Linked DNA regions of Ovis aries. The protein of the gene in region 5 binds, or shares a complex with, the protein of the main gene of each other region. Links are inferred from orthologs where the notes say so. Each region holds a gene or a part of one and is shown on either strand. Other genes may lie near its edges. The genes, in order: RUVBL2, POLR1B, UBTF, POLR1C, POLR2E, DNAAF10 and ERCC2.

Region 1 (3,584 bases), on a different chromosome or scaffold from region 5:
GATCCCATGGCCTGACCTGCAGCTGCTACAAACACGCTCATTTGGACACCAAACTCCAGCCTGCTGCCTTCCACATGTGACCCAGGGCAAGTCACCGGGCCTTGCTATCCCCCATCTTGAAAACAGGGCCGAGGGAATTCCTAGGTGGGCCAGTGGTTAGGACTCCATGCTTCCACTGCAGGGGGCACAGGTTTGAGTCCTGGTTGGGAAACTAAGATGTGGCAAGCCATGCGGCATGGCCAAAAAATAAAATTAGTAAGATAAGGGGCTTCCCTGGTGGTCCAGTGATTAAGACTCCAAGCTTCCAACGCAGGGGGCGTGGGTTAGATCCCTGGTTGGTGAACTAAGATCCCACAGGCCCTGCAGTACGTGTTTGGCGGCAAGAGGAATGGAACGGAATGGGGCTGAGACGGTATCTAGCTCCTGAGCTCCTTTTGAGGAAAGGCTGAGCCAAAAGCCAGGGACAACCTGCCCATTATCCCTGGTAGTCGCCCCTTTCTTCCCTGTGCTTCAGCTGGCAAAAGGCCGTAGTCATGCCCCTGAGCAGCCCAGGGCAGCGGCTGTGCTGGGTGCAGCCTTCAGGCCCCCGGCTCGCATGAGCTCTTCGTCCCCTGCTTCCTTCTCACTTCCTGTGGACTTTTGAAGATGAGGTGAGGAAGAGCCAGCAGGCAGAACCGGGCACAGCAAAACCCTATGGCAGAGGTTCCCAAGTTTTGTGGTATCTGCTACTCTTCCTGCCTCAGGGGTTTTTCCACTGTATCCTTAGATCAAGAGAAATACTAAGCTGCGTTCCCTTTATTTCTATTCAGCAGTGAGGCATAAGCGACTTGCTCCCTGTTCTCCCAGGGGCCTCCTCAGGGGCCAGCGGGGCTTACCGGGTGATGCCGCGGTTGGTAGCCATGATGAGGACAGGCGCCATGTCACTCTCCAGGGCTCGGTTGAGGAAGGAGAAGCTCTCAATGTCCAGCATGTGGACCTCGTCGATGAACAGCACCTGGGGGCCGTTGGGCAGGTATCAAGCCCACGTCCCACGCCTCTCTTCTCCCGCGCCCCCCAACCTGGCCTGGCCCGGGTACTCACGCCAGGGATAATCTCTGCCTTGCCCTCCTCCCGCCACTCGGCCACCTTGGCGTTGATCTGCTCTCGGACTTCGGACTTGATCTCCCCTGTGTCGCCTGTGGGAGGCAGGGTGTCAGAGAGGAGAAGGGATCCAGGGCCGGGGGTCGGGGAGGGCAGTGGACGAAGGCAGAGAGAGACAGGACGCCGGAGACACAGAGAGCGAGCTGGAGTGGCGACGTGACAGTGGCCGGGGACTCAGAGACGTCCCAGAGAGGCAACAGACGAGCCAAACCACAGGTGAAGAGCGGAAGACGGCAAGAGGGATGGCGGAGAGGGGAAACGCCAGGCCGTCCTGGTGCACGGCGGGGCGGGGCGGGGCGGGGAGGGAGCCTCCCGGCGCGGGTGGCCCAGGTGGGCCTCACCTGAGAAGAGGGCCAGGAAGCCCTGGGTGCGGGAGTTGATGACGTCGATCTCGTGGAGAGACACCGTGTGCACCACCTCCTTGCGCTTCTGCAGCTCCCCGTCTGGGCACTGCACGAACTTGGTCTGTGGGGCCGGGGCGGGGTAGACAAGGGCAGAAAAGAGCATGAAGCGGGGGCCCCGGGGGCTGTCGAGGGGAGACGGGCTCCCTGGAATGGAGCTAGGAATCCAGATGGGGGTGATGCAGAAACCCCAGGCCTGAGGGGTAAAGACTAGGGCAGCCCAGAGCACTGAAGGATACAGGGGTTCCTGGAGGACCCCAGAAACCCCTGGCTGTTCTGGAGGGTATGGGGAGGCACCAGGAGGGCCAGGGACACAGGGCTGGGATGACAGGAGGGTCTGGACCCTGCAGACGCCAGGGGCAGGGGGGAGAGAGAAACGTGCTGGTGCCTGAGCGAGGGGACCCAGGAGCCCTGCCCACCTGGGAGCCCATGGCGTCATAGTCGCGAGCCCGTGTGAAAGAGCGTCCCAGCTTGGAGATCTTGCCTGTGGCCTTGTCGATGGTGATCACGTCCCTGCAGGGGAAGGCGGGCAGGGGTGAGGACGGGAAGGGCCGGAGCTCCCCTACCCTGGCCACCGGTGTGGCCCCCACTGCTCACCCGGCCTGGACCTTGTCCTTGGTCAGGGACTCGATCATCTTGGTGCCCAGGTCATATATGGTCTCCATCTCTGTGGTCTTGAGGGTCAGCTTGCCGACTTTGGAGCCCTGAGGGGTGACAGGTAAGGGGTTTAGAGGGGGCCCTGATGTCTCCCCAGCACAGCTTCAGAACCAGCATGACATGGGGCAGTGCTGGGGGCTTGATGAAGATATGCACTGTCACAGCCTCGGTGACAGCTTTGTGGCTATGTGTATGTCAAAACCTAAAATCCTGAAAACTTTCTGGGGCATGGCTTATTGGAGGTCAGTTGCGCCTTAATAAAGCTTTAAAAATCCAGTAAAGGGGACTTGCCTGGAAATCCAGCGGATAAGACTCTGTACTCTTAATGCAGGGGGCCCAGGTTCGATCCCTGGTCAGAGAACTAGATCCCATATGCCACAACTAAGACCTGGCTTAGCCTAAATAAATAAATTAAAACCAGTAAAGGAACAAACAGGGACTTCCCTGGTGGTCCAGTGGTTAAAACGCCACACTTCCCGTGCAGGAGGCATGGGTTTGATCCTGGTTGAGGAGCTGAGATCCCACACGCCGTGAGCACTGCCCCTGCCCCCCAAAGAGAAACAAAAGCCTAAAAGAGAAAATCTGTAAAAACAACAGGCACCTGAGGTCCCACCGAAGGGTCAAGGGGGCGGGTCCCACTCTAAAATTTGTTTTTCATACCCAAATAAAAGGTGGTCTTTTGTTAACCACATACCCAGAAGAACACAGCTAAACACAGCTAAGACAACAAAAATGCCACACCCCATCCCCAAGAGATAAGCTAAGAAAACAAAATGTCATACACCCTCCCCACCAGATAAGCTAAGAAAACAAAATGTCACCACCCCCCCACCAACAACACCCCCCAAGGTAAACAGTCACCAAGTCTGGGCTTTTCCCAGCATATCCTGTCTCACCTGTTTCCTGGAGTTGTTTCCATAGTGAGATGCTCCCTTTGTAGGGAGAGGTGGCAAGTGGGTTTGGGGAGGGAGTTAAAGGGAGTTTTGGTTGTTCATTTTCAGTTTTTCTTTTTGGCTGTGCTGGGTCTTGGCCGGGGCATGCGGATCTTAATTCCCTGGCCAGGGATCGAACCCAGGCCCCCTGCATTGGAAGCATAGAGTCCCAGCCACTGGACCACCAGGAAGTCCCCGGTTGTTCATTTTGATGAGGGTATATCCATGGATTTCTTCTGTAACCTCTTTAAACTCTAATTTAAAGAACTATCTGGGAAATAGCTTTCCCTATACTTAGACTCTTCCACATTGTTTTTTTTTCTACCGTGTTTTTAAAATTCAAAATTTAATTGCCAATAGATAAGACTAATTTAGGAGGCTGTTACAAGTGCTAAAAGTGCAGTTGACCGCAGTTATTCACTTTAAGTCTATTTCCACTGAAAATGAGAAGCTA
Region 2 (4,293 bases), on a different chromosome or scaffold from region 5:
TTCTTTTTCATACACTGTCTCATCTGAGACTTGTTATGAAGCCTACACAGAGCATAGACAAGACATCAAGGCCCCTGTTACCTATCTAGAAATTAAAGCAGAGTAAGAAAACTGAACTCCCTGACAAGCTTTCTGTTCTCACACTCCCAGTTCTGGCCCTTTCTACTGTCACCAGGTCTTTCAGGGCACGGCTCCCCTGTGGGTACCTCTGCTTCCTCATGGTGCTCGATGAGGGCTTTTGGAGGAAGGCTGTATAAGTTGCAAAGCTTGGATTTCACCATGATGGGAACGTAGCCCAGAAACTGCTTAATGACTCCTTTTGAGATTCCATTCACTGACCAGCTGATATCGGCCTAAGTGAAAATGAGAGAGAGAAAAAAGTTAAAAAAAAAAGTGGGGGACTATCTAGATCTGTAGGAATAAATGAGTATTCTAGGGGAGGGAGACAGAGGGATGGACTGGGACTTTGGGGTTGGTAGATGGAAGCTATTACAGTTAGAATGGATAAACAACAAGGTCCTACACAGGGAACTATATTCAATATCCTGTGATAAACCACAATAGAATACTGAAAAAAAAAAGTATATAAAAAAAGAATAGATGAGTATTTTAAAAGATTAAGGCAGAGGACCATAAACTAAATGATTTTATGCTTTAGGTTTAAAAGATGGGATCTCTCGGACGACAGCACTGAGAAAGCCAAATTCTGGTATAAACCGTATTAGGCACTGGGCTTATTCAAAAAAAATGTACAGTGTGTGAGTCGCATGCTGTCACTCATACTCACTGTCAGCTTTCCCCGGTAGGTGCTCCTCCGGCCTCGGCACTCTGCTGGATAAACGTTGAGCTCTTTGCAGATGCTCCCTTTGGGAACGGCTGGAGGACTGATGACGGCATCCACAATGGTGAGAGAGATCCGCTCATCTTTGAAAGCAAATTCAAAGGGAGGGACGGCCTGAAATACAGTTGAGACAGTCAACCGCTTGCACTTGCAAGGCACTTTCTCTCAGACTCTTTCAAATTTCAGGTGTTCTACAAGCACTGATGGCTATCATCCTAATGCAACACATCTAAAAAGAGCCAGCACTACATCTGGGCTACTCCTGTCCTAAGTACCTAAAACAGCATTAAGAAGACTTTCTGGTCTACTCACTGTTGGATTCTATAATAGGTTCTAGGGATACAGCTGTTTACGGACAAAGCTGTCCTCTGAACCAAGTACCTGACTTCAGTAGTGTGTATATGTTAATCCCAAACTCCTAATTTATTTCTGCTTCACATTTTACCTTGTACTCTCTTTGTGCATATGTTGTTGTTCAGTTGCTAAGCAGTGTCCAACTCTTTGCGACCCCATGGATTGTAGTCCCGTCAAGCTCTTCCTCAAGAATACTGGAGTGGGTTGCCATTCCCTTCTCCAGGGGATCTTCCTGACCCAGGGGATGAACCTGGGTCTCCTGCATTGCAGATTCTTTACCGTCTGAGCTACCAGAGAACCCATTTTAGCGGAAAGATTCCTTGATCATCTCAACGCTGGACTCTTTTTCATTGTTTTAATAAATCCCAGGGTCAATTAACTTATAAGCAGATTTACAATTTTTCTCATAGACATGATACAATGAGTCCAGGCACGATAGAAATTATTTCCCATCAGACAAAAATATCTCATCTTTTGCAAACGGGTGAAGCAGTATTAATCTTCGAAGAAGCCTCGATGGTTCCCCCATTATTTGCAGAAGAGAGTTCAAGCATCAGAAACTGGCTCAGCTTTCAACATTCTCTCCACCCCTCCTGCAGAACAAGCCCTACCCAACAAAAGCAGAGGGTAGAGACCCCTGAGCTCTGCTCCTGCACTCCCCCTGGAGGGAACGTACTCTTCTCTTGGATTCATGAGGTCCTGCCCTGGGTTAGCTGCACCTCCCTCCTCTGTGCCCCCGCACATAGCCCCTTGGCAAGAGAATTGCTCCAGAGTACTGGCACTGACTGCCTTCACAGCTCCACCTGCTGCTGCTGCTAAGTCGCTTCAGCCGTGCCGACTCTGTGCGACCCGATAGACTGCAGCCCACTCCATCCCGTCCCTGGGATTCTCGAGGCAAGAATACTGGCGTGGGTTGCCATTTCCTTCTCCATCACAGCTCCACCACCTCCACCCAAAACAAGATAGCAAGCAAGAACTCTCTCTTACATAGGTCTGCCTCTCCCTCACTGTCAGAGCCCAGTGCCCGGAGACACCGGGATGCTTACTAAATGAGACCCTACCCCATTATTTTAACCTGAAGCCTGCTACCATCACCCTCTAGACCAATCACTTTAGTATGGAGTAAATGTTACCTAATGACGTTACCAATCTCTTAAGGAGGACCAAAGGTTTCCCACTGAATCTCGCTTTAATGACTCACTGGCACCTTCCTCGACATAGCCCGGCGCTGGGCCTGTGCCCAACTCCCCCGTCTCCTGGATCCCTCCTCCCCTCTTCCAGGCCCCAAGCCTCACTCACCTCTCCCTCTTCCTTCTCCAGCGCCTCACACACCCCGCACCCCATCCGCCGTGCCGCCAGGCCCCTTTGCTTCACCCGCCTGTAGCAGGGGCTAGAGGCGCCGGAGAACCCAAAATTGAGGAACGGCTGGGAGGAGGCCAAGCTCACCTGCACCGCGTGGCTGAGCCCCTCGCTCACAGCGTAGTTGAAAGACTCGACATGCGCCCGCGTCAGCTCCTGCAACGCTGGCTTTTGCTGCTCCCGCGGGATCCCGTAAGACGAGTCGGTCAAGTGCTTTAGGCTGGGCCCACTGGGCAGGTTTCGCCACCGGCCGCCGGGATCCATGAGTTTGCCAGCACACCGGGCGCCAGGGACTGCTCCACACGCGCCGGAAACACCACCCGGCGCCCAGCACCCATGACCTGCTGGGAAATGTAGTTCCTCTTGGTCTGCCGGCCCTGGGTCCTCAGATTTTACAGGGTCGACTAGAAACTAATACTTGGAGCAAGTGGGCCCGTTCAAAATCCTGCAGAGTCGGAGAGCGGCGGATCGGCTCCGTCTCCTCTCTTCCGGTGTCCACCCCTGTAGATCTCCGTTCTCCACTCACAAAGGGGAAGTCCGCTCCACGGCCAATTCCGCCTGTGAAATCTCCATCTTTCATTTGCGGTTTAGGACCGGCGGAGAGTGATGTTCAAAGATTTCCTTCTCTTTCCTTGACGACTTTGCGATCCAATATTGATGCAGACTCTCGGGGTGACACCCAACCAGAGTTCTGGCTTCAAGGAAAAAGCAGTTAGGCACCAAACCGACTGCCCTCTACCCAGACCAGGGTAAGGGGTTAAGTCGGGAAGGTTCATCACTGGGACCGTCTAGCGGTGGTCCTACCCCCATTAGCCCCTCCCCGCGTCGTCTAGACTCGAGTCTTGAGCGGGAGCCGGCAACGTGTGTGCAGGCGGGCGTCCTAGCCCTAATATCCTTTAGTTATTTAGTCGCTAAGTCATGTTCAGCTCCTTGCGACCCCATGGACTCTAGCCCTCTAGGCTCCTCTGTCCATGGGATTGCCCGGGCAAGAACACTGGAGTGGGTTGCCATTCCCTTCTCCAGGGGATCTTTCCCAACCCAGGGATCCGGGGATCTTAGTTCCCTGACCAGGGATCAAACCTGTGCCCCCTGCAGTGGAAATGCAGACTCTTAACCACTGGACCTCCAGGGATACTTTGAGTCTAAATCCTATACTCCATTCATCTCCCCAGAAAACGATTTATCGGAGACTGTCTGCAGCTGTCTTTCAGCGTAATCTTTCCTGTGTATGTGCGTTTAACAGCTCTATCCTGTACGCGGTATAACTGACACACGATAAACTACACCTGCTTAAAGGGTACGCGCTGGTAAGTTTTGACCTAGGTATGTGCCTCCTGGGCTTCCGTGATGAAGCTATCATCACGATTAAGATAATGAACTCATTCACCACTTAAGAGAAATGTCCACCTGACGCAATTCCACCTTTACCTAGGTCCGGTGGTAATTCTCATTCCTGTATCAATTTTAAAAATTATCCTCTGTTTCTTTCTTATGTTTACACCATCAAATCTCCCAAGATGTGTGCAGCTGTGACCTAAATTCTGCCTTCTCTTCCTTTACAGCGACTGCTACTTTTAGGAAAAACTCTCTTCCTCTATTCCCTCTCTCTTGGCCAGGAAGGTAGGAGAATGAGGGGATTATGACAGGTGCAACCATTTCCATCAGCATACAAACTTGCTGGAAAAGCTGTTAGAAGACAGCTCGCTGATCTCTTTCTTGTCCCCTTTAGAACACGGATC
Region 3 (3,584 bases), on a different chromosome or scaffold from region 5:
CAAAGAAGCCCCTGACCCCTTACTTTCGCTTCTTCATGGAGAAGCGGGCCAAGTATGCTAAACTCCACCCGGAGATGAGTAACCTGGACCTGACCAAGATTCTGTCCAAGAAATACAAGGAACTGCCGGAGAAGAAGAAGGTGGGGGGCGGGGGGCTAAGGTGCAGAGGGAAGAGGTGGGGAGAAGCTGGTATGGTGTAGGTTATCTGGCTCAGGGGGTAGGGGGGCAGCAAGGGTTTAGACCGAGGGACCTGGTGTCAGGGGCGTGGGTGGGTCAGCAGAGTAGAGGAGGGCCTTGGGGAGCGCACCTGATCATCGCCTCCTGGGCCCACACACCCTCAGGTGTTGGCACTGCTACAGATGTAACCACGACCAAGACAGACACTATAACACACGTCCTCTTTCACACACATGTCCTCACTGTTAGGCTTGCACATTCACGTCTGACGTTTCCCCACATGGTCTCACTTGATGCTCATAGAGGTAACTCCAGGAGACTGAGTGGTCTGAATTTTGCGGTCAGAGGAACTGGGGTGCAGGAGGGCATCGTGTCCCAGGACCATGGTTTAGTGCCTGGGCTCTCTGCCTAGCCCTCTTCTCTAGGCAGGTAACGGGTGCGTCCCCAGGTTACATGGACTTCCTCCCCCTTACACATATTGTCCTTTGTGGCCCCGTGCTGTCCCAGATTGTCAAGCCCATTAACCTTGGGTAGAGGCTGCCCCAGCCTCCCAGGCAGGGGTGGACATGGTCAACACAGTGAGGTTGTGTGGTCCCTGGGAGAAACAGGCAGCACAGCATCGGAGGAGCCTGCAGGTAGGACAACAGTGAGAGGCGGTGGGCAGAAAGAGACGCACAGAGGAGATACTGCCTGGTGAGATGGAGCCAGGGAGAGATGCTAGCGAGGGGCAGCAGAAGAGACAAGAAGGCACACTTGCTGGAGAGGAGACAGTGTAGGCAGCTGGCTCTCGGGAGGGCACCAGCCCTGGGAGCAGCCCTTGTCCCAGTTTGCACACCCTGGCTTCGGGCTCACATGGCCTGGTCTTGTACCCAAAAAAAGGAGCTCGCTTGACTGGGTCCATCCAGCTGTCTGCAGCTGCTGCCTGAACCAAGCTGGAGTACGAATTGCTGGAGCTATTCTTGACCCCTCTGATGGGGCTGTTGCAGAGCTGACTGTATACACACTGCCCAGATGTTCCCATGGGGTGAGAGGGAGAGGCAGAGGGTCTCAGGACCAGGGCGGGACAGAGGAAACTCCGAGGTACAGTGGACAGAGTGCTGGCCTAGGGGACACACTGAGCCTGTTCCCCTGAACTGCCACTGCATCACCGTACATGTGCCCTTTGGTAAGTCATTTCCATCTTCTGGGCCTGGTCTTGATCTGAGGCGTGGAGGTTGAGCCTGATCTGGGTGGTGCCTTCTGGCTCTGAAAGCTGCTGTTTCTGTGAGAGGAGAGCTGAGACTGGGGCGAAGGAGGCAGGGCTCTGCTCTCGGTTTTTTTGTGGAAACCTCAGAGGGAAGCAGAACGGCCTTGCTTCTCGCACCTGATGAGAGGCAGAGGTTGGGCTCAAGTAGCATGTGTCCCTGGCCTCCTCCAGCGCTATTCTGGTTGTGAATCTGGGAAGAAGAGGGAGAAAGGAAAGAGGGACGTTGAACTGGGGCCAGGAGGGGAGGTAGACGAAGAAGGGAAAGAGACAGGCTGGAAAAGAAGTCCAAGAGGGAGGGGTGCAGGGAGGCAGGAAGGATGCAGGGATAGAGATGGGATGGTGGGAAGGGGGGACCAGGGTGAGAGAAGGAAGGGGCTGGGGGAGGGATGGCGCAGGGAGCCAAGAACCTGGAAGAAGGGATCGGAGGCAGGGAAAGTGGTCATGACTGAGGGTTGTGGCGGGGATGGTGTCAGGATCGCCAAGGACAACCAGGGACCCAAAGATAGAGGATTGGAGGTGGGGGGAAATCCAGCTTCAGAAGACAAGAATTCACTCTGGGATGCAGTCAGTTAAGTCTCTCTCCTCAGTGCCTTAGAAGTGGGACTCAGCCTGCCCCCAGCCCTGTGGGCCACCTGAGAGGGCACACTAGTATTAGCTGCCACAGACAGAGGAGGAGCGAGCGACAGGCAAGGCCTATGCCCTCCCTGACTCCCTCCCTGGGGGTTTCCTTGGTGTTGGGGAAAGGCAGAGGGGGACTATCTCGGGGAATCCCAGTGCTGTCCCTGCTTAGTGAATGACTGGGTAATGCCATGTGGCCACCCCACCTCCACCCCCATCCTGGGACTCTCCCTTTCTTAAAGTGAGGGGATGGGATGTGTTCTGGGAGACCCCTGTAGGTCCTAGTGTCAGCTACAGAGTCCCCCCCCCCCCACCCGCCACCAACCCACCAGAAGGCAGGCCACCATCTTCCCTTCCCCCACCCCCCTACTCAGGACATTCTCCATACACATCACTGACAGGGAGGCAAAATAGGTAGCAAGGAGGACTTGGTGGGGTTTGTGGCTCAGCTCTTGGGTCATGGATGACCCCATCGCCTCCTCCCCCCAGATGAAATATATTCAGGACTTCCAGAGGGAGAAACAGGAGTTTGAGCGAAACCTCGCCCGATTCAGGTAAGGCAGTGGAGCCCAGAGGAGGCCACAGGGTGCTGGGTGTGGCAGGAGAGGGGATTAGAGCCTGGCGCTCAACACCCATGAGGCATGGAAGATGGATGGGTCACTTGTTGACCGTAGTGGTTCACATTCAGGGGCAGAGACTGGCAGCTAACCACTGGTCCACTAGGCCCCAGCTGATGGGCTGAGGAGCCTTAGCGAGTGGGGCAGCTAGCCAGGGTCTGCCCTGGCAGGACCCCCATCCCCAACCACTGACTGTCGCTCCCCGCGCCCTGGCTAGGGAGGATCACCCAGACCTAATCCAGAATGCCAAGAAGTCGGACATCCCCGAGAAGCCCAAAACCCCCCAGCAGCTGTGGTACACCCACGAGAAGAAGGTGTATCTCAAAGTGCGGCCAGATGTGAGTGTCCGGCCAAGGGGTGGCGGGGAGGGCGCACGGTGGTGGCAAGGGGGGAGCCGCGGCAGGTCGGCCGGGCATGGTGCAGGGGAGCAGGAGAGGAGGCCCCTCCCCAGGGGTGGGCTGCATGGACAGGGCCTGGGCCAGCTGGCGTGTGCGTGCGTGCGTGTGCGTGTGTGAGCCTGTCCCCTCGCACCCAGGCGGGACCCTCCGCCTCTCTGCCTTCCCCTCCTGGCCCGTGGGGGACACTCTTGTGACCTCCTGTGGCCTGAGGGGGCGGGGGCCTCTGTGTCCCCCTCCCCTTCCCCTTCCCCCTCCCCCTGGCTGCCTGTGTGTGTCTGACGGCTTTTGGTTTGCAGGCCACTACGAAGGAGGTGAAGGACTCCCTGGGGAAGCAGTGGTCTCAGCTCTCGGACAAAAAGAGGCTGAAATGGATTCATAAGGCCCTGGAGCAGCGGAAGGAGTACGAGGTTAGGCTTCCGCTGCGCTCCTCCCCGTCCGGCTCTTCACGAGCCTCTGCCCTCTGACTCTGCAGCCTCCGCGTTCTGCGGGAGGCAGTCACTGCCCATCCCGTCACTGAGGGAGGGGCCT
Region 4 (4,211 bases), on a different chromosome or scaffold from region 5:
TAAACTTTGTGACACCTATATCGGAAACCCTGACTAGTAACCCAACAGAGCTTGGCCAAGCATGCGCAATAAAGGTTCTATACAACCTGGTGTTTCACTCCAAGGGAAAATTAAAGGGGGGAAAGCTCTTAGTGTGGTGGCTTTAGGAGACAGATGCACAAGAGAAGCTGTTATAACCACCCATCCTCCCAATAATAAATAGACCGTCCCTAATCAAATAAGTCAAGTGGGCCTTAAGAAGCATTACTATGAGCAAGGCTAGTGGAGGTGATGGAATTCCAGTTGAACTATTTAAAAGCCTAAAAGATGATGCTGTTAAAGTACAGCACTCAATATGCCAGCAAATTTGGAAAAACTAAGCAGTGACCACAAGACTGGAAAAGGTCAGTTTTCATTCCAATCCCAAAGAAAGGCAATGCCAAACAATGTCCAAACTACTGCACAACTGCAGTCGTTTCACATGCCAGCAAAATTATGCTCAAAATTCCCCAAGCTAGGCTTCAATGGTATGTGAACCAAGAACTTCCAGATGTTCAAGCTGGATTTAGAAAAGGCAGAGGAACTAGAGGCCAAATTGCCAACATCCTCTGGATCATAGAAAAAGCAAGAGAAGTCCAGAAAAACATTTACTTCTGCTTCAATGAGTAAGCTAAAGCCTTTGACTGTGTGGATCACAACTGTGGAAAATTAAAGAGATGAGAATACCAGACCACATTGCCTGCCTCCTGAAAAACCTGTATGCAGATCCAGAAGCAACAGTCAGAACTGGAGATGGAACAATGGACTGGTTCAAAATTGGGGAAGGAGGACGTCAAGGCTGTGTATTGTCACCCTGCTTATTTAACTTATATGCAGAGTACTAGATGAAGCACAAGCTGCAGTCAAGATTGCTGGGAGAAATATCAATAACCTCAGATACGTAGGTGACACGATCCTAACGGCAGAAACCGAAGAGGAACTAAACAGCCTCTTGATGAAAGTGAAAGAGAAGAGTGAAAAAGCTGGCTTAAAACTCAACATTCAAAAAACTAAGATCATGGCATCTGAACCATCATTTCATGACAGACAAACGGGGAAAAAATGGTAACAGTGACAGACTTCATTTTCTTGGGCTCCAAAGTTACTGCAGACGGTGACTGCAGCCTTGAAAGACACTTGCTCCTTGGAAGAAAAGCTATGACAAAGCTAGACAGCACATTAAAAAGCAGAGACATCACTTTGCTGACAAAGGTCCATATAGTCACAGCTATGGTTTTTCCAGTAGCCGTGCATGGATGTGAGAGAAAGCTGAGTGCCAAAGAATTGATGCCTTCGAATTGTGGTGCTGGAGAAGACTCTTGAGAGTTCCTTAGACAACAAGGAAGATCAAATGATCAAACCAGTCAATCCTAGAAGAAATAAACCCTGAACATTCATTGAAGGACTGAGGCTGAAGCTGAAGCTCCAATACTTTGGCCACGCAATGCCAAGAGCTGACTCACTGCAAACGAGTGATGCTGGGAAAGATTGAGGGCAAGAGGAGAAGTGGGTGACAGAGGATGAGATGGTTGGATGGTATCACTGACTCAATGGACATGAGTTTGAGCAAACTCCAGGAGATACTGAACGACAGGGAAGCTTGTCGTGCTGCATTCCCTGGGGTCACAAAGTCAGACCCAACTGAGCAACTGAAGAACAACAACAAAGAAACCTGCACCCATTCAAGGAATTAAAATAATGGAGTGGGGCTAGAAAGACCCTCAGGTGGTCTCCTCACTCGTGTGGACACTCGTATTCTTCTGTGAGTGCCTGCTTTCCCTTCTCCTTAATAAATTGCTTCTTTGTTCTCTCTACACCTCAGTTTCTCTGTGTGACATTTTTTTGCACTTTGGACAGGTAGAATAAGAACCTGGACCTTTACTTTAGCATGTCCCACATCACAAGTATGGCAGGAGACAGACGGGCTCCAGCTGAGGAATTTCCTATCAGCCTCCTGTTTGCCCTCCAGAAACGAAGAGAGAACAGAAACAGAGTCAACAGTCTTTGTCTCTAGTAAATATCTTGAAGAAATAATTATAGCAAGAACAAAGCAAGGCGAAATCCCTCGTCTGAGTAAGGATTAAGGGATCTCCGCTTCCCCCTTTTTAGGATAAGGAAGATACATCACAAGTGCAGAAAGGCTACTTGGGGTCAAAAGTCAGAGGATAATTCAGGCCATAACGAGTCTTGCTCTTCCCAGAAGCCTTCACTTCCAGATCCATCTTGGCTAAGAGGTGAGTGTGCATCCCATGGGAGGGTCCTGCCCGTGTGCCTTTCTACATGTACTTCTCTTTTCAATCAACTTCGTACTTTACTCTGTACCTTCTGCCTCCTCGCCTGAATTCGTTCTTGACTAGGCAGACAAGGACTAGGGACTCTAGCCCTAACTGCTGGCTCCTGTGGTCGTAGTTAGGACTACCGGTGGGGGAAGCTACAACCCCGCTTCCAGCTACCGCCCTCTGCCCCTTGCTGCAAGCTGCCCTTTTCTGCTGCGCCTTGGAAATTACAAGGACAGCTTCTAAGGCACAGGTTGCTCATATCACAAAGTCCGATCCCACAGTTCCAGCTCCACCTACCTTCTCAAAGCGGTCCTGGTCCCAGGCATCATCGTAGCCGCAATAGTTACCGGGAAAGTCAGTGGTATGAACCTAGAGCAAAGAGAGACGAGAATGTCTGCGAAGGGGCAGCGAGGCCAAGCCCGTCCCCACTCTGACGCCAACTCATCCCTGATTCACTCTGCTCCCGAGCTGAAGGCCACAAGACTTACATTGCGAACCCCAAACTCCCCTAGAACCACGCGGGTCCTCATTTCCTCCACAGCCTGGGCCGCCGCCATCTTCAACTCCTCCACGTGACCAGAGTACCTAACTGATGCGTGCGCACTAGTCGTCCGCCTCCGTTTCTGTAGCAACGCACCTCCTAGAATCTTAAATATCGCGAGACTGTGCCTTGCCTCCGTCCACGTCCCCAGCTACCGGAAGTTGGTTTGAGCCAAACATCCGGGTTTCTCCTTTTTTTGCATTCCGACCCATAGTACCTTTCTTTCTTGTCCCTAGACCTGTCCCTTTCTCAGGCCCGCATCTCTCCCACTCCTCCTCCGCGCGCGGGACAAGCACGGGCTTCAGCGACGGGAGCCCTCGAGGGACATGGCAACTCCGGCGGCGCCGGCTGGCGGCGCCCGAAACGGGACCGGCCCGGAATGGGGAGGGTTCGAAGAAAACATCCAGGTAATGGCCCCACGGCTCCGGCTGCCCGCAGCCCCTGGGCCGGCAGCCGCCCTGAACTCTCCCTCAGAGCCTGGAAGTCTGGTCCATTTGCAACACTTTTTATCTTCTTTTGAGTCTTCGTGCACAAGAAAGGCAGTGGGGCTAGTGCTGGTCTTAAAGCTCCAGACTGGTACTCCAGCCAGGGGCCTTAGGTATCTGGGCCCAATTGCTCTTGCTTTCCACAAGTTTAGGAAAGTCAGTCGGAGACAGGCATGGCGGGAGTGGGCTTGGGGGTGGATGGGATTCACTAGCCAAAACCACACTTGGTGCGCATAGCCTTGTTTTGGGGTTGGGAGAGATGAAGGAAATGGGCACTTTGCAGCCCTTTGGGGCCTTGGTAGGGAAGGTAGGAAAAAGCCGTGTATGGAAGACAGGGACTAGGTTCCCCAGACTAGAACAGAGCACCAAACAAGCAGGGGTTCTGAGACCAAATGAGGAGAAGAGAGTGGCGTCATCTGTGGCGATTTCAAGTCCCCTAGCCCCAAACCTTGTGGTGAACGGAGAAGGACTCAACTGGACGAAGCAGAAAGGTCCTGCACTCTAGGGTCTGTTGTCTTCACAGGGTGGGGGCTCAGCAGTGATTGACATGGAGAACATGGATGATACCTCAGGCTCCAGCTTCGAGGACATGGGTGAGCTGCATCAGCGCCTGCGTGAGGAAGAAGTGGATGCTGATGCAGCTGCTGCTGAAGAAGAGGATGGGGAGTTCCTGGGGATGAAGGGCTTTAAGGGACAGCTGAGCCGGCAGGTGGCTGATCAGGTAAGCACAGTTGGCTCCCTGACAGGTGGAAAAGTATACCGAGGAGACCTCTGGTTCTGGAGTTGGTGAAGTCCACCCCAGGTTGTCCAGTTCACACCATTTTGAAATCAGATAAAAAATAAGTAACATAGAGCCAAGAGTTTGACAGCACCCTTTCACCCCACCCA
Region 5 (4,277 bases):
TCAGAAAGACATCGCGCATCATAAATTGGGAAACCCCACCCAACTCCGCCCAGGCTCTCAGCAGTAATAAGGCCTTCATCTCACATCAAGAAAGGTAAGTACCTGTCAGGATGCTCCCAGGGTGGCTGGGAGCTAGTGTGGCAGCCGGTCCCCGGGCCTGGGGACAGAGGTGCTGGCCAGGCTCCATCCCACCCTGGCGGGGCAGGCTTACCTGCTTGGCAGAGGGCGTCATGCCCTGCTGCACCACAATGAGGGCACGTGTGATGTTCTCCTCCTGCATGCGCTGACAGTACACCTTGATGGTCTTGATGCCCACCTTGGGCTCCTCTGCAGGCAGAGCACAGGCTGATCAGTGCTGCAGGGCCCCTTCCCATCGGGCACCCAGGTTCTAGCCTGGCTCTGCCAAGGCACTGCGGTGCCACTCCCACTCTTGGGCCTCAGCCTCCCCGTGTGCAAAGCAAGAACTGGGCAGCTGGTTCCCAGAATGGGGGAGCTGGCTGCCTCCAGGTCACATGGGAGCTGACAAGTGCCCTGGGTGCCCTGGACCTCAGGGACCTCTTCTGGAAGTGGGGTCTGGGAGTCTGGGCTTGGCCAGGGCTCAGTGGCTCTGAGGTTTGGGAAGCCCTGGATTTGGTTTAGTCTTGGAGTTCATGAGACAAGGGCTGGGGTTCTCAGAGGTAAGCTGAGGTGAGCTGACCCAGAGAGTATGGTCCTGCCAGACACAGACCACCCATCTCCATGCCGTAGCACTGGGGGTCCTCATGGTCTTGGCAGCATGCAGGGCCTGCCACAGAACAGCCGGACCCTAGGAGCCCAGCAGGTCAGCACCTAGGGCAGCCCCAGGGTCTGTGTGCAGTATGTCCGCCCCTTCCAGCTGCTCTCACTTCCCATTCCACTAACCCACTCTGCCCTCAAAGTCCCTCTGTTGGGGTCCTGGCCCTGGAATCTCAGAATGAAACTGTATTTGGAAATGTGATCTTTAGGCCCAGAGAGAATGGATGGGTGATCGAGAAGAGGGAAGCTGGAGAAGGGGTTCCCAGAGCAAGGAGGGCAGGGGACAGAAGGATAAGGGTGGGTGCATGACTCTGGGGCGCACAGCAGGTGGCTGCTGTGAGCTGGCCCTGAGCAGCCCTCACCTGGGAAGAAGACGAACATCTGGTCAGTAGGGTCGTCGTTGTGGGCCACCAGCACCGTGAGGTCCGTGCGCCTTGGCCGCCCTTCACTGGGCTTGTCCCCAAACTGGGCCTTGAACTCCTCCAGAGTCTGGTCCAGCTCGTCCTGGGTCACCAGGTAACCACGGTCATGGCACAGCTGCAGAGAGAAAGGGCAGGTGATCGATCGCACAGTGGAGATAGGACAGCAGCCAGAGCTCCGGTGGCCTCACCCACCGCAGAGGAGACTGGGGAAAGGCCTGGGATGCAAGCGGAGATGTTGAGTCCAGAGTCAGGCCCCAGGGCGTAGGTCTGACAGGTACAGCAGGCTGGGCGGGTGTTGGCTGTGAAACCAGGCAAAAGCCTGAGGCCCAGCAGTTCAAGGTCCTGCTCAGAAACTAGGGCTCTGTGAGCACACAGACTAGGTGAGGACCCAGACAAAGGAAGGTTGGAGCTGCCACCCAGCCCTGCCCACATCCCCCACCCCCCGCCGAGTCTCCATTCAGAGACCTGGGTCTCCTCTCCCGCAGCCCCGACACCATCAGGTAGAAGCGCAGCTGCTCCCGCCCTGTCTTGAGTAGCTCTGCCAAGTGTTGAAGAGGCTGGGTCATAGCCCAGCCTTAGCTCCAGCACAATTCCCAGGAGGCTGGGTGCTCTTGATCAAGGCCCCAAGTCTTTGTGGCATCACACTGGACCCCTCTCACATGGTGGCTTAAAGCATGTGGTACACAGAAAAAGCTGGTGTGACTGCTGTGACACTGAGACTGAGTTGGTGGGCAAGGCATCTAAGTAACCACCAGACAGCAGTCAGACCAGCCCACCAGGGTTCCTTCCACCGTCAAGAACCCGGGATTCTGCGTTATGCACTTACGGTGGTGCTGATAAGACAGGCTGGGAGCTGGGACCCTTTGCGGCAGCGCCTGCACTTGGACAAACATCTTCTCCAGCAACAGAATACCCAGAAACCATGCGGGACTAAAAATAACCGTGCAATTGCCCAGCTCGAGCAAATGATAGACAACAACAGAAAGTCAAAACCTCCACTTCTGAGGTGCCGGAGCAAAAGCTGGGTGCCAGGCCTGATCCCTGCACACAGCACCACCCAGAGGGTAGGCAGACCACCCGAATCATCACTCTGGCATGACCCCTGGACCCGCGCCCACCCTCATCCCATTATCCCATTCAAGACGACCTAAGAAGGGCGCCTGTTGCTTGTTTTCGCTCCCTCCTGCTGCAGCATAAGCTCCAACAAAGCCTTGCCTGACCTTCTAGTCTGGCCTGTTATCAATTCTTACTGATTAAGAACTTCAAGGATCAGGGGCTGTAACACCACAACCCTCCAGAAACACAAATACAAGGCGGCCCAGCGTCTCCCGCCTTCCCTCTCTCCAGCTCGAGCGAGATCCTGACCCCCTTCTCTGGGGGCTCTGGGGCTCGACTCCTCCGCTCCAGCCGCGCCGCCGCGGGTGAAGAGGCTCGTCCTCATCAACGGGCCCTAGCACCCGCCGTTCACGCCTCGGCCGCCACGTGCCCAGTTCGTCTGGCGCAGCCAGGCACGCCCTCACCGCGTTCTCCAAGGAGGGCTGCCTCCGCGCGGCTCACCTGCATGATGGTCTTGCGGATCTTCCACAGCCGGTATGTCTCCTCCTCATCGTCCATGATTCCCGCCGCTCTCACACACTGCGCCTGCGACCAGCACGACCAGGGCCCACAGTGCCTACTCCGAGTCCTGATCAGGCCCCCAACACGTCGTCTACCCGTGCAGGGCTGTCGCAGGCGAACGCCTGAATACAGCGACCTTCGGGAGCGGCACTGCCAAGGGCAGCCCTAGCCTTCCTAAAGCGGCGGTTGGTTGCGCGAGCAGCTTTCAAACAGCACCGCCCACCCGCCCCTCGGAAGTTCTCGCGATGCTTTGACGGCACGGCTTCTCGGGAGTGGTGGTTTTTGCTCAACGTCAGTCTGGACAGTGTTTAGAATCTGGAGAGATTGAGGAAGTGTGAGCGGAGCCTCGGTTTTCCGTTTTGTATAATGAAAAGAATAAAGTGTCCCCCATTTTAGAGGATCTAAAGAGATGCTCGTACTTGGGAGGAGCTTGGTATAGTTCCTGGTGCTTACAAAATGCAGCTGAGCCCCAGCCCAGCCCCTGCCTGGATACCCCAAGAGTGCACAACCTCTGCATCGGCCCTTCCCCTCCGAGTTCGTTCAGGAGGTTTGTTCAGGCCTGCTCAGCCCAGCTTACTTGTGTCAGTAACTTCTCATTCAGTAATATATTAATTCAATGATTCAGTATTTAATGAGGAGCCAAAGAGACGGGGAACAAAACAGACCAAGCATCCTTACATGCCAGGGAGAGACAGGACAGAAACAGCGGACATAAGTAAATGATACAGCGTGTTAGAAGGAGACAGTGCTGTGGAAGAAAAAATAGAGAAGTCTCAAATGTGGTCATGGAAGGTTCCAACAAAAATCCAAAGGGTGAGAGGGTAGAAGCCCTGGGGATGTCGAGGAAAGTGTATCAGGTAGAGGGTACAGCATGTGCAAAGGCCCTGAGGCCTAGCATGTTGGCAGCAAGGAGGCCTGTGGGTCAGAGGGTCAGGTGGGGCAGATCTTGGGAGCCCTTGCTGGTTGGGTTTGAGAAGTTTGTGCTTGCAGCCATTTTCAGCATCTCCACAGGGCAGAAACAGGGAGACCAAGGAGTGGGCTAGGGAGGACCGTCCCGGCCAGAGATAGATGAGGCCTCAAGTGAAGGATGAGCTGTGGGCAGGTCTAGGGTGTCCAGAAGGCAGCGCTCATAGGATCTGTAGGTGGACAGGATGTGGAAAGACACAGAGACAAGCAGAGGAGGAAGAACAGACCTCGGTGGGGAGGCATAGAAGGCAGATCTGGAGCAGATCTTGGATATGGTGAGCTTGGGACTCCTGGGGGACCCTACGGGGAGCATCCAGGGGACAGTAGGGCACAAGCCTGGAACTCAGGATGAGCTTGGAGTGGAGGCTGATGTGGATGTTGTGGGCGCACAGTGCAGACTGGAGTTGAGAGGCTGATGAGGTCACAGAGCGCATCAGAAGTCAGGCCTGAGCCCTGAAGCTGGGAGGAGGGGAGGAAACGGCAGAAGGCAAAGAGATG
Region 6 (4,117 bases), on a different chromosome or scaffold from region 5:
TCCGACTCTGTGCGACCCCACAGACGGCAGCCCAACAGATTCCCCTGTCCCTGGGATTCTCCAGGCAAGAACACTGGAGTGGGTTGCCATTTCCTTCTCCAATGCATGAAAGTGAAAAGTGAAAATGAAGTCACTCAGTCGTGTCCGACTCCCAGCGACCCCATGGACTGCAGCCTACCAGGCTCCTCCGTCCATGGGATTTTCCAGGCAAGAGTCCTGGAGTGCTCTAAAGGCATTTAAAAACTAGTAAACAGATATAAAAATGTTAGTTAATATCCTTATTCTCCAATTCTTCCATTAGTGTAATCTTTACAAAACTTGTAAACCTAACCTTGCCACACCCTGCATAAAGCCCTTCACTGAAGTCCCATTTTTCTTACAAAAACAGGCACAAATCTTTTAAATGATCTACAGCATTTGCAAGGCCTCCTCTCTGCTGTTTTGTTCCAAAAGGAGATAATCTCTCTCCCTCATTGCTGAGCTGTTTCCTCTTGGAAATCTCAACTCCTAATTTGACCTACTTAGCTTTTACTCAATGCAAATCTGGTTTTCTGGTTTTGTTTTTACTCTCATAGAACCATGTGCCTTTACATTAGAGAATTCATCTCAGTTTGTGTTTTATGTATTGTTAGTTTGATTATTTAATTGATTCTCTCTCCCACTAGGAAAAAAAAACTCCATAGTAATCAGGGACATTGTCTGTCATTTACTAGCTGGAGAATACCAGGCAATCAACTGACACTTGTTGAAAGAATAATTGTTTTGGATTGTCTCCTCCAATTACATAGTAGGCATCCTAGTGCCTGCTTTGGCTCTGCTTGTATGACCAAGTATTTTACTATCTTGGACCCATTAAAAGACTCTCCACAGATAAAGAACTAATCTCAAAAATATACAAGCAACTCTTGCAGCTCAATTCCAGAAAAATAAACGACCCAATCAAAAAATGGGCCAAAGAACTAAACAGACATTTTTCCAAAGAAGACATACAGATGGCTAACAAACACATGAAAAGATGCTCAACATCACTCATTATCAGAGAAATGTAAATCAAAACCACAATGAGGTACCATTTCACGCCAGTCAGAATGGCTGCGATCCAAAAGTCTATAAGCAATAAATGCTGGAGAAGGTGTGGAGAAAAGGGAACCCTCTTACACTGTTGGTGGGAATGCAAACTAGTACAGCCACTATGGAGAACAGTGTGGAGATTCCTTAAAAAACTGGAAATAGAACTGCCTTCTGGTACTGCTAAGTCGCTTCAGTCGTGTCCAACTCTGTGTGACCCCATAGATGGAAGCCCACCAGGCTCCCCCATCCCTGGGATTCTCCAGGCAAGAACACTGGAGTGGGTTGCCATTTCCTTCTCCAATGCATGAAAGTGAAAAGTGAAAGGGAAGTCGCTCAGTTGTGTCCCACACTTCTCGACCCCATGGACTGCAGCCTTCCAGGCTTCTCCACCCATGGGATTTTCCAGGCAAGAGTACTGGAGCGGGGTGCCACTGCCTTCTCCAAGAACTGCCTTATGACCCAGCAATCCCACTGCTGGGCATACACACCGAGGAAACCAGAATTGAAAGAGACACGTGTACCCCAATGTTCATCGCAGCACTGTTTATAATAGCCAGGACATGGAAGCAACCTAGATGTCCATCAGCAGATGAATGGATAAGAAAGCTGTGGTACATATACACAATGGAGTATTACTCAGCCATTAAAAAGAATACATTTGAATCAGTTCTGATAAGGTGGATGAAACTGGAGCCTATTATACACAGTGAAGTAAGCCGGAAAGAAAAACATCAATACAGTATACTAACGCATATATATGGAATTTAGAAAGATGGTAACGATAACTCTGTATGCGAGACAGCAAGAGACACAGATGTATAGAACAGTCTTTTGGACTCTGTGGGAGAGGGAGAGGGTGGGATGATTTGGGAGAATGGCATTGAAAGATGTATAATATCATATATGAAACGAATCGCCAGTCCAGGTTCCATGCATGATACAGGATGCTTGGGGCTAGTGCACTGGGATGACCGAGAGGGATGGTACGGGGAGGGAGGTGGGAGGGGGGTTCAGGATGGGGAACACGTGTACACCCGTGGCGGATTCATGTTGATGTATGGCAAAACCAATACAATATTGTAAAGTAATTAGCCTCTAATTAAAATAAATAAATTTATATTAAAAATAACATTCAAAAAATAAAAAGAAAAAAAGACTCTCCACAAACAAATGCGCACTGCCCAGAAACGCCTCGAATTTAAACGTGAAGTTATAACGTCACCTCCAGGGACCTCGCACTGGACTGGGAGAAGGGTGGGGATGGCTGGAGGAAGGGACCAGCAAAGCAGGAATGAATTAGCCCGATGAGAATTCAGGTCTCGAACGAAAGCGTTTTACGTCGGAATTATTCCTCAGTCTGCGGTCAGATTCGCTACTCCCGCGCAGTTTCAGCACCGCTTTGGGGGGACGCTGGACAAAGGCTTTGGCAAAAAGGAACGCAGAACTCCCGCCCCCAAGATCCGCACTCCCCTCCAGGAGCAGTCCCAGATTTTGGAACTGGGAGGTCTCGACCCGGCACCCACCTCCCGCAGCAGCTTTAGGTCCCCTTGCTGGATCTCGTACAGCTGAATGACGCCGGTGCCCCGTGCGAAGTTGCCCATGGTCACAAATTTGGCGCTGCAGGGCATCCACTTACAGTCAAACACCGTGTAATTGAGGCTCTTCTGGATATGCGAGATGATCTGAGGCTTCTCAAAGGCCGACATGGTCCAGCCGAGAGATTTCGCCTCCGCCAAGCGGGACACAGCCAACAAACCCTGACGAAACAAACCTGGAAACCAGAGTCCAAACGTTACGGATAGTTTGTCCCTCCCGCCTGCCGTAGGCGCCCCTAGAAACCTAACAAGCAGTTTTAGGTTTCTCAGATAATGCCGGATGCTCTAGTGCAGGCCCACAAGAGTTTCCTTCCCCAACAACACAAACTTGTTATGGCTTTACCTAGTGCCTTTCGTACAGATACAGATTATGGGTTATAAAGCGCGCTGACTGCGAGAGGTGTGGGCAGAGGGCGAACCTAAGAATCAGGCATATTTTAGGACAGCCCTCCCTCCTCACCAACAAACACGCAGAAACTCCCGCTTTAGGTCCCCCGCATGGGACGTCTTAGGAAAGAGGGCGGAGCCCTGGGGCTGGTTGGCGGAGGTTGGGGGCCTGTGAGGCGCGCCTGCGCGGTACAGCCTCGCACGTGTTGAAGCTGGAAGCTGAGGTTGGGGCTGGAGGCTCTGGAGAATGGAAAGCGTGATGGAGGCACAGAGCCCGTTGGCCGAGGACGGCTTCAGTCAGGTCACCCGCAAAGGTGGCCGGCGGGCGAAGAAACGGCAGGCTGAGCAGCCGTCCACGCCGGAGGAGGGAGGCGACGCGACCTGCATGGACACCGAGGAAGCTCGACCCGCTAAGAGGCCCGTCTTCCCGCCCCTCTCCGGGGACGGGTTCCTGGTACTGGCTGGGACCGAGGAACAGGAACGGGGCTGGGGCCAGAGACGGGTCGGCCCGGTGGCCTCTGGGTGATGACGCTTTTTCTGGAGTGAAGCTCAGAGCGGCGACTCTCCTGGTGTTTAATCTGTCCAATTAAAGGAGGCTTTTTGAGGATCAGTTGTCGTTACAACTTCACCCTCATTCCTTTAAACAACTGCTGAGTTGTGTTTTCTTTTGTCGTAGAATGGGAAAGAAGAAACCAGGAAAATTCCAGTCCCAGCTAACAGATACACGCCACTAAAAGAGAACTGGCTGAAGATATTTACTCCTATTGTGGAGCATTTGGGACTTCAGATACGCTTTAACTTGAAATCGAGGAATGTTGAAATCAGAGTAAGGAGACTATTAACCACTTTAAAATATGCCGAGGTTTTTCTGTCCTAGGAAGAAAGAACAGACTTTCTAGGAATTCTTAGTGGGACTTACCTTGTTGAATGAGTTTCTTCCAGTTTGACCTGAAACTAAACTAAACTACCAGCTGCGTTTCAGCACATTTTAAAGTGTTCTGTGTTGATTGATTAAAGGGTTAATAAAGAGGTTATCGTCAATAGAAGTATGTAAATGAGCAGCC
Region 7 (3,584 bases), on a different chromosome or scaffold from region 5:
CTAGAATTTAAGTTCTGGGAGGTCAGGAATGAGGTCGTTCATGGTTCCTGCCATCTCCCCAGGGCTGGGCCTGGCCCATTTATTGAGCAAATAAATGAATGAACGCATCCGCATAATCAATTTCACTTCGCAAAGATGTTTTTAAAAATATCATCATGTCCTCTGTGCCAAGCCCAGGACTGGGAACACAGCAGTGACCGAGACAACCCTGGCCTCGCCCTCTCAGGACTCACAGTCCAAGGATAGGGACACAGAGCTGTCTCCAGAGTGACCACTCTGAGTGGGAAGGCTGGGACAGGGGAGCCTAAAGGAGAGGGCCTGGCCCAGCCTCGGAGCCAGAGGGGCTTCCTGGAGGAGGAGGAGACGTCTCTCCTGAGCCAAGAACTGAGGGGTGACAGGGAAGACAGTTGGGAAGATGGGGAAAGCTGTTCCAGGTACAAGAATGTGAGGTGTCGGTAGATGGAGAAGTGGGGAAGAGAGGAGGACGGACAGACCAAGGAGGAGGATGGGATGGACAGAGGGACAGAGGCAGAAAGAAGATTCCAGTGACACTTGCTGCCCATCGGCGCTGGGGTGGGGACGGGCTATCTTCCTGCCAAGGCCAGGCCCGCCCGCGGGCCGTCAGACAGGCTGACCTAGTTTGCTGGATAGAGGAGTAATCCCCGGGGATGAGACTGAGCCCTTGGCAGCTTAAAGCTGATGAGTTGGGGGCAGAATGCTCCCCTGTACCCTCCCAGCAGGCTGGAAATCTGAGCGTCCTCCCCCCAAGGCCCCGCACGACCAGGCACCAAGTCGCGGCCTCTTGACCTCCCACGACTCTCTCTAGCACCCCACCCCGTCCTGGCCCAGCCTCTGCCAGAAGAATCCTCTAAAGCGCAATCTGCCCCTACCTCTCCCTGTTCAGAACCTGCCATGGCTCCCCAGTGCCGCTGGGAGAATGACCACCCCCCCCCACATGCCCCCCAGGGTGAGCGGACCCCGCAGATTCTCTCCTTCCTCTCCTCACGCCACTGCCCACCCCCACCCACCTCCATCTGCAGCCAGAGAGAGCCTTTAAAAATACCCTCCTGAGCACAAGGCTCACTCACTCAAGGGCTGTTTGTGGCTCCCCACTGCCCTCAAAATAAGGCCCAGAGCACTTCCCTGGTGGTCCAGGGGCTAAAACCCTGCACTCCCAACACCGGGGGCCTGGGTTTGATCCCTGGTCAGGGAACTAGATCCCACATGCCGCAACTAAAGATCCTGCACGTCACAACTAAGACCGGCGTGGCTAATAAATTTTAAAACAAATAAATAAAGTCCAAACTTCAGAGGCTGGGCTACCCTCTGGGTACTCTCCCAGGGGCTACCCTCTAGGCCCTGCCGGATCCCAATTCCAGCTGCTGGGGGCCGGCAGAGGCAGGAAGAGGCGAGCTTACCCTTCGCGTAGGTACTGACAAGCGTGGCGAAGTTAGCGAGGAGGGTAAGTGGGGAGAAGTCAGTGAGGTCCGAGATCTCCAAGGTGTGCAAGAGGGAGCGGAGGCGCTCGGCGCAGAACCTGGTGGGGTGGGGGGCGGGCAGGTGAGGGAGGTGGTGGCTGCAGGCTGGATAGCCCCCTCGTCACCGTCAGAGCACGTGCTCACATGCCGTCTCCCCAGCCACCTGGCAGCTCCGGGAGGTCAGGGTCTGGGTCACTCTGTGTCCCCACCTTGTACCACTGCCCATCACGGGGGGCACAGCCACAGGAGGGCACACAGAGCAATAATCTCACAACCCAGAGTCACCGCCCAAATTCTTAGACTGTGAGGAATCTGCCTGTAAGGCAGGAGACCCTTCCTGGGTCAGGAAGACTCCCTGGAGAAGGGCATGGCAATCCACTCCAGTATTCTCGCCTGGAGAATCCCATGGACAGAGGAGCCTGGTGGGCTACAGTCCAGGGGGTAGCACAGAGTCAGACATGACTGAGCGACTAACACTCCAGAGCCACACAGTCCTGTCACATGAGGTAACGCTCTCATACACAGGTTCTCAATCAAAAGGGGCGACCCACGACCACCCCCAGCATCCCACGGTCAGCACGTGAACGCCACACGGCCACAGGGTCACACACTCCCGCCCGGATCTCCACAAGGTCAGTCTCGGCCACAGTCCTCAGTGACACAGCGTTAGAGTTCCGCACGCTCCCAGATGATGGCCTCGGTGACGGCTCCTCCCTCACTGAGCCTGACACAGGCTCTACCAACGGCACACAAGCAAGGCCACCCAGCTTGAGGCAGGGACAGGCCGTGTGTGGAGCGGGAGCACCCAGCTTTGGCGCCAGGCAGACAGTCAAGTTTAAAACCTGCCTCCTGGGACTTCCCTGGTGGGCCAGTGGTTAAGACACCCAATGCAGGGGGCCCAGGTTCAAGCCCTGGTCAGGGAACTAGATCCCACATGCCGAGCAGTGTGCCCAAGAAAAATAAGAAATAAAGTGAATAAAACCTGTCTCCTGTATGTCCTTTCTTCCAGTCTGCCTATCCCCCAGGCTCGATCAGACGGCCCCTGTGTTCCTGCAGCCTCCAGGACACCCCCCCACCCTGAGCCCTGGACTGACCCTGTCTGGGAAAGGTCTGTCTCCCCAACTGGACTGTGAGCCCAGGAGGGCAGGGCCAGGGCCGTCTCCATCATTGCTGTGTCCCCAGCACAGAGCAGGCCCTCGGAACACGGACCCTGTGACTCAGATCCCCTCTGTCCTCACAAGTCTCTCGTGAGGGAAGAAGGGTGAAGCCGCACCAAGGGCTCCCACCTCCTCAGAGGCAGAGCAGCCAGGAGCCTCAGAGCCCCACCGGCAGGGCTTCTGGTCACAACCACACACAGTGCCGGGAGGCTTCCCCTCCACGGGACACAGCGTCCTCATCGGCAGCACAAGGCGGGAACTCCGTGTTGTGTCCCCGGGCCGTGGACTGCGAAGCACTCGGCTTGTCATCAGTGCTCTAGACGGGGTGGGTTCCTGGGGTCGCTGCTTTGTCATTAAACCACCACAGGAACCTGGGGGTAAAGGGGCTGACCCCCTACCCCTTGCACAGAGGAGGAAAACTGAGGTTCAGAGAAGACCAAAGACTGATCCACAGCACAAAGGAAAAGCAGAGGAAGCTCCACCCCCACTCCAGAGCCCCTCATCACTGGCCCTGCCCCCAGACTGCACCTGAGGGGCTGGCTCCTGCCCAGGGGCTGGGGGGCAATGAGAGGCCCTGGCAGGAGGAAACAGGGAGTGAGGGGCCCACAGCATTTTCTCCCAGCTCCCATCCCGCTGGCCCTCATCAGGAGCCCCTCTCCAGGGCCACTCCCTCCATGGCCTGGAGTGAGAACACCCCTGAGCACTGGCCAGGGCCCTGGGGTCTCGCCGCCGCCCCCCTCCCTCTGCACACAGTCTTCCATCACACTTCCCGAGGTCAGTTCTCTGATCATGGCTACTGACAAGGGCGCCCACCCCACATCCCCACCGGGACCCCTCCCACGCCCAGCCCCCGCGGCAGCCGCACCTGAGGGGCTTGCGCTGGATGCAGACGCGCTGGGCCAGGCCGCTGAGGAAGGCGGGCGGGCTCTCCTGGACCACATGCTGCACC

The links.
Region 1: POLR2E (region 5) and RUVBL2 share a complex: the UniProt entries of both Homo sapiens proteins name them as parts of the PAQosome complex. The link is inferred for Ovis aries from reciprocal best matches to the Homo sapiens genes POLR2E and RUVBL2.
Region 2: POLR2E (region 5) and POLR1B share a complex: the UniProt entries of both Homo sapiens proteins name them as parts of the pol I pre-initiation complex. The link is inferred for Ovis aries from reciprocal best matches to the Homo sapiens genes POLR2E and POLR1B.
Region 3: POLR2E (region 5) and UBTF share a complex: the UniProt entries of both Homo sapiens proteins name them as parts of the pol I pre-initiation complex. The link is inferred for Ovis aries from reciprocal best matches to the Homo sapiens genes POLR2E and UBTF.
Region 4: POLR2E (region 5) and POLR1C share a complex: the UniProt entries of both Homo sapiens proteins name them as parts of the pol I pre-initiation complex. The link is inferred for Ovis aries from reciprocal best matches to the Homo sapiens genes POLR2E and POLR1C.
Region 6: POLR2E (region 5) and DNAAF10 share a complex: the UniProt entries of both Homo sapiens proteins name them as parts of the PAQosome complex. The link is inferred for Ovis aries from reciprocal best matches to the Homo sapiens genes POLR2E and DNAAF10.
Region 7: POLR2E (region 5) and ERCC2 share a complex: the UniProt entries of both Homo sapiens proteins name them as parts of the TBP-based Pol II pre-initiation complex. The link is inferred for Ovis aries from reciprocal best matches to the Homo sapiens genes POLR2E and ERCC2.

What each region holds. Positions count from the first base shown.
Region 1 is NC_056067.1:55,308,953-55,312,536, reverse strand, and holds part of RUVBL2 (ruvB-like 2), read right to left. Parts: intron 2,246-3,584; coding exon 2,139-2,245; intron 2,055-2,138; coding exon 1,961-2,054; intron 1,606-1,960; coding exon 1,482-1,605; intron 1,176-1,481; coding exon 1,081-1,175; intron 995-1,080; coding exon 876-994; intron 1-875. UniProt on the Homo sapiens protein: Possesses single-stranded DNA-stimulated ATPase and ATP-dependent DNA helicase (5' to 3') activity; hexamerization is thought to be critical for ATP hydrolysis and adjacent subunits in the ring-like structure contribute to the ATPase activity.
Region 2 is NC_056056.1:60,441,205-60,445,497, forward strand, and holds the start of POLR1B (DNA-directed RNA polymerase I subunit RPA2), read right to left. Parts: upstream 2,853-4,293; 5' UTR 2,819-2,852; coding exon 2,642-2,818; intron 956-2,641; coding exon 788-955; intron 354-787; coding exon 207-353; intron 1-206. UniProt on the Homo sapiens protein: Catalytic core component of RNA polymerase I (Pol I), a DNA-dependent RNA polymerase which synthesizes ribosomal RNA precursors using the four ribonucleoside triphosphates as substrates.
Region 3 is NC_056064.1:43,766,672-43,770,255, reverse strand, and holds part of UBTF (nucleolar transcription factor 1), read left to right. Parts: coding exon 1-140; intron 141-2,530; coding exon 2,531-2,595; intron 2,596-2,875; coding exon 2,876-2,996; intron 2,997-3,352; coding exon 3,353-3,463; intron 3,464-3,584. UniProt on the Homo sapiens protein: Recognizes the ribosomal RNA gene promoter and activates transcription mediated by RNA polymerase I (Pol I) through cooperative interactions with the transcription factor SL1/TIF-IB complex.
Region 4 is NC_056073.1:17,058,152-17,062,362, reverse strand, and holds the start of POLR1C (DNA-directed RNA polymerases I and III subunit RPAC1), read right to left. Parts: upstream 2,876-4,211; 5' UTR 2,855-2,875; coding exon 2,786-2,854; intron 2,667-2,785; coding exon 2,595-2,666; intron 1-2,594. Other genes in the region: protein YIPF3, read left to right, coding at 3,165-3,245, 3,847-4,044. UniProt on the Homo sapiens protein: DNA-dependent RNA polymerase catalyzes the transcription of DNA into RNA using the four ribonucleoside triphosphates as substrates.
Region 5 is NC_056058.1:41,257,630-41,261,906, forward strand, and holds the start of POLR2E (DNA-directed RNA polymerases I, II, and III subunit RPABC1), read right to left. Parts: upstream 2,876-4,277; 5' UTR 2,811-2,875; coding exon 2,754-2,810; intron 1,312-2,753; coding exon 1,137-1,311; intron 328-1,136; coding exon 212-327; intron 1-211. UniProt on the Homo sapiens protein: DNA-dependent RNA polymerase catalyzes the transcription of DNA into RNA using the four ribonucleoside triphosphates as substrates.
Region 6 is NC_056056.1:40,164,676-40,168,792, reverse strand, and holds the start of DNAAF10 (dynein axonemal assembly factor 10), read right to left. Parts: upstream 2,877-4,117; 5' UTR 2,778-2,876; coding exon 2,595-2,777; intron 1-2,594. Other genes in the region: RNA-binding protein PNO1, read left to right, coding at 3,301-3,507, 3,730-3,879. UniProt on the Homo sapiens protein: Key assembly factor specifically required for the stability of axonemal dynein heavy chains in cytoplasm.
Region 7 is NC_056067.1:52,774,528-52,778,111, forward strand, and holds part of ERCC2 (general transcription and DNA repair factor IIH helicase subunit XPD), read right to left. Parts: coding exon 3,501-3,584; intron 1,538-3,500; coding exon 1,419-1,537; intron 1-1,418. UniProt on the Homo sapiens protein: ATP-dependent 5'-3' DNA helicase. Component of the general transcription and DNA repair factor IIH (TFIIH) core complex, not absolutely essential for minimal transcription in vitro.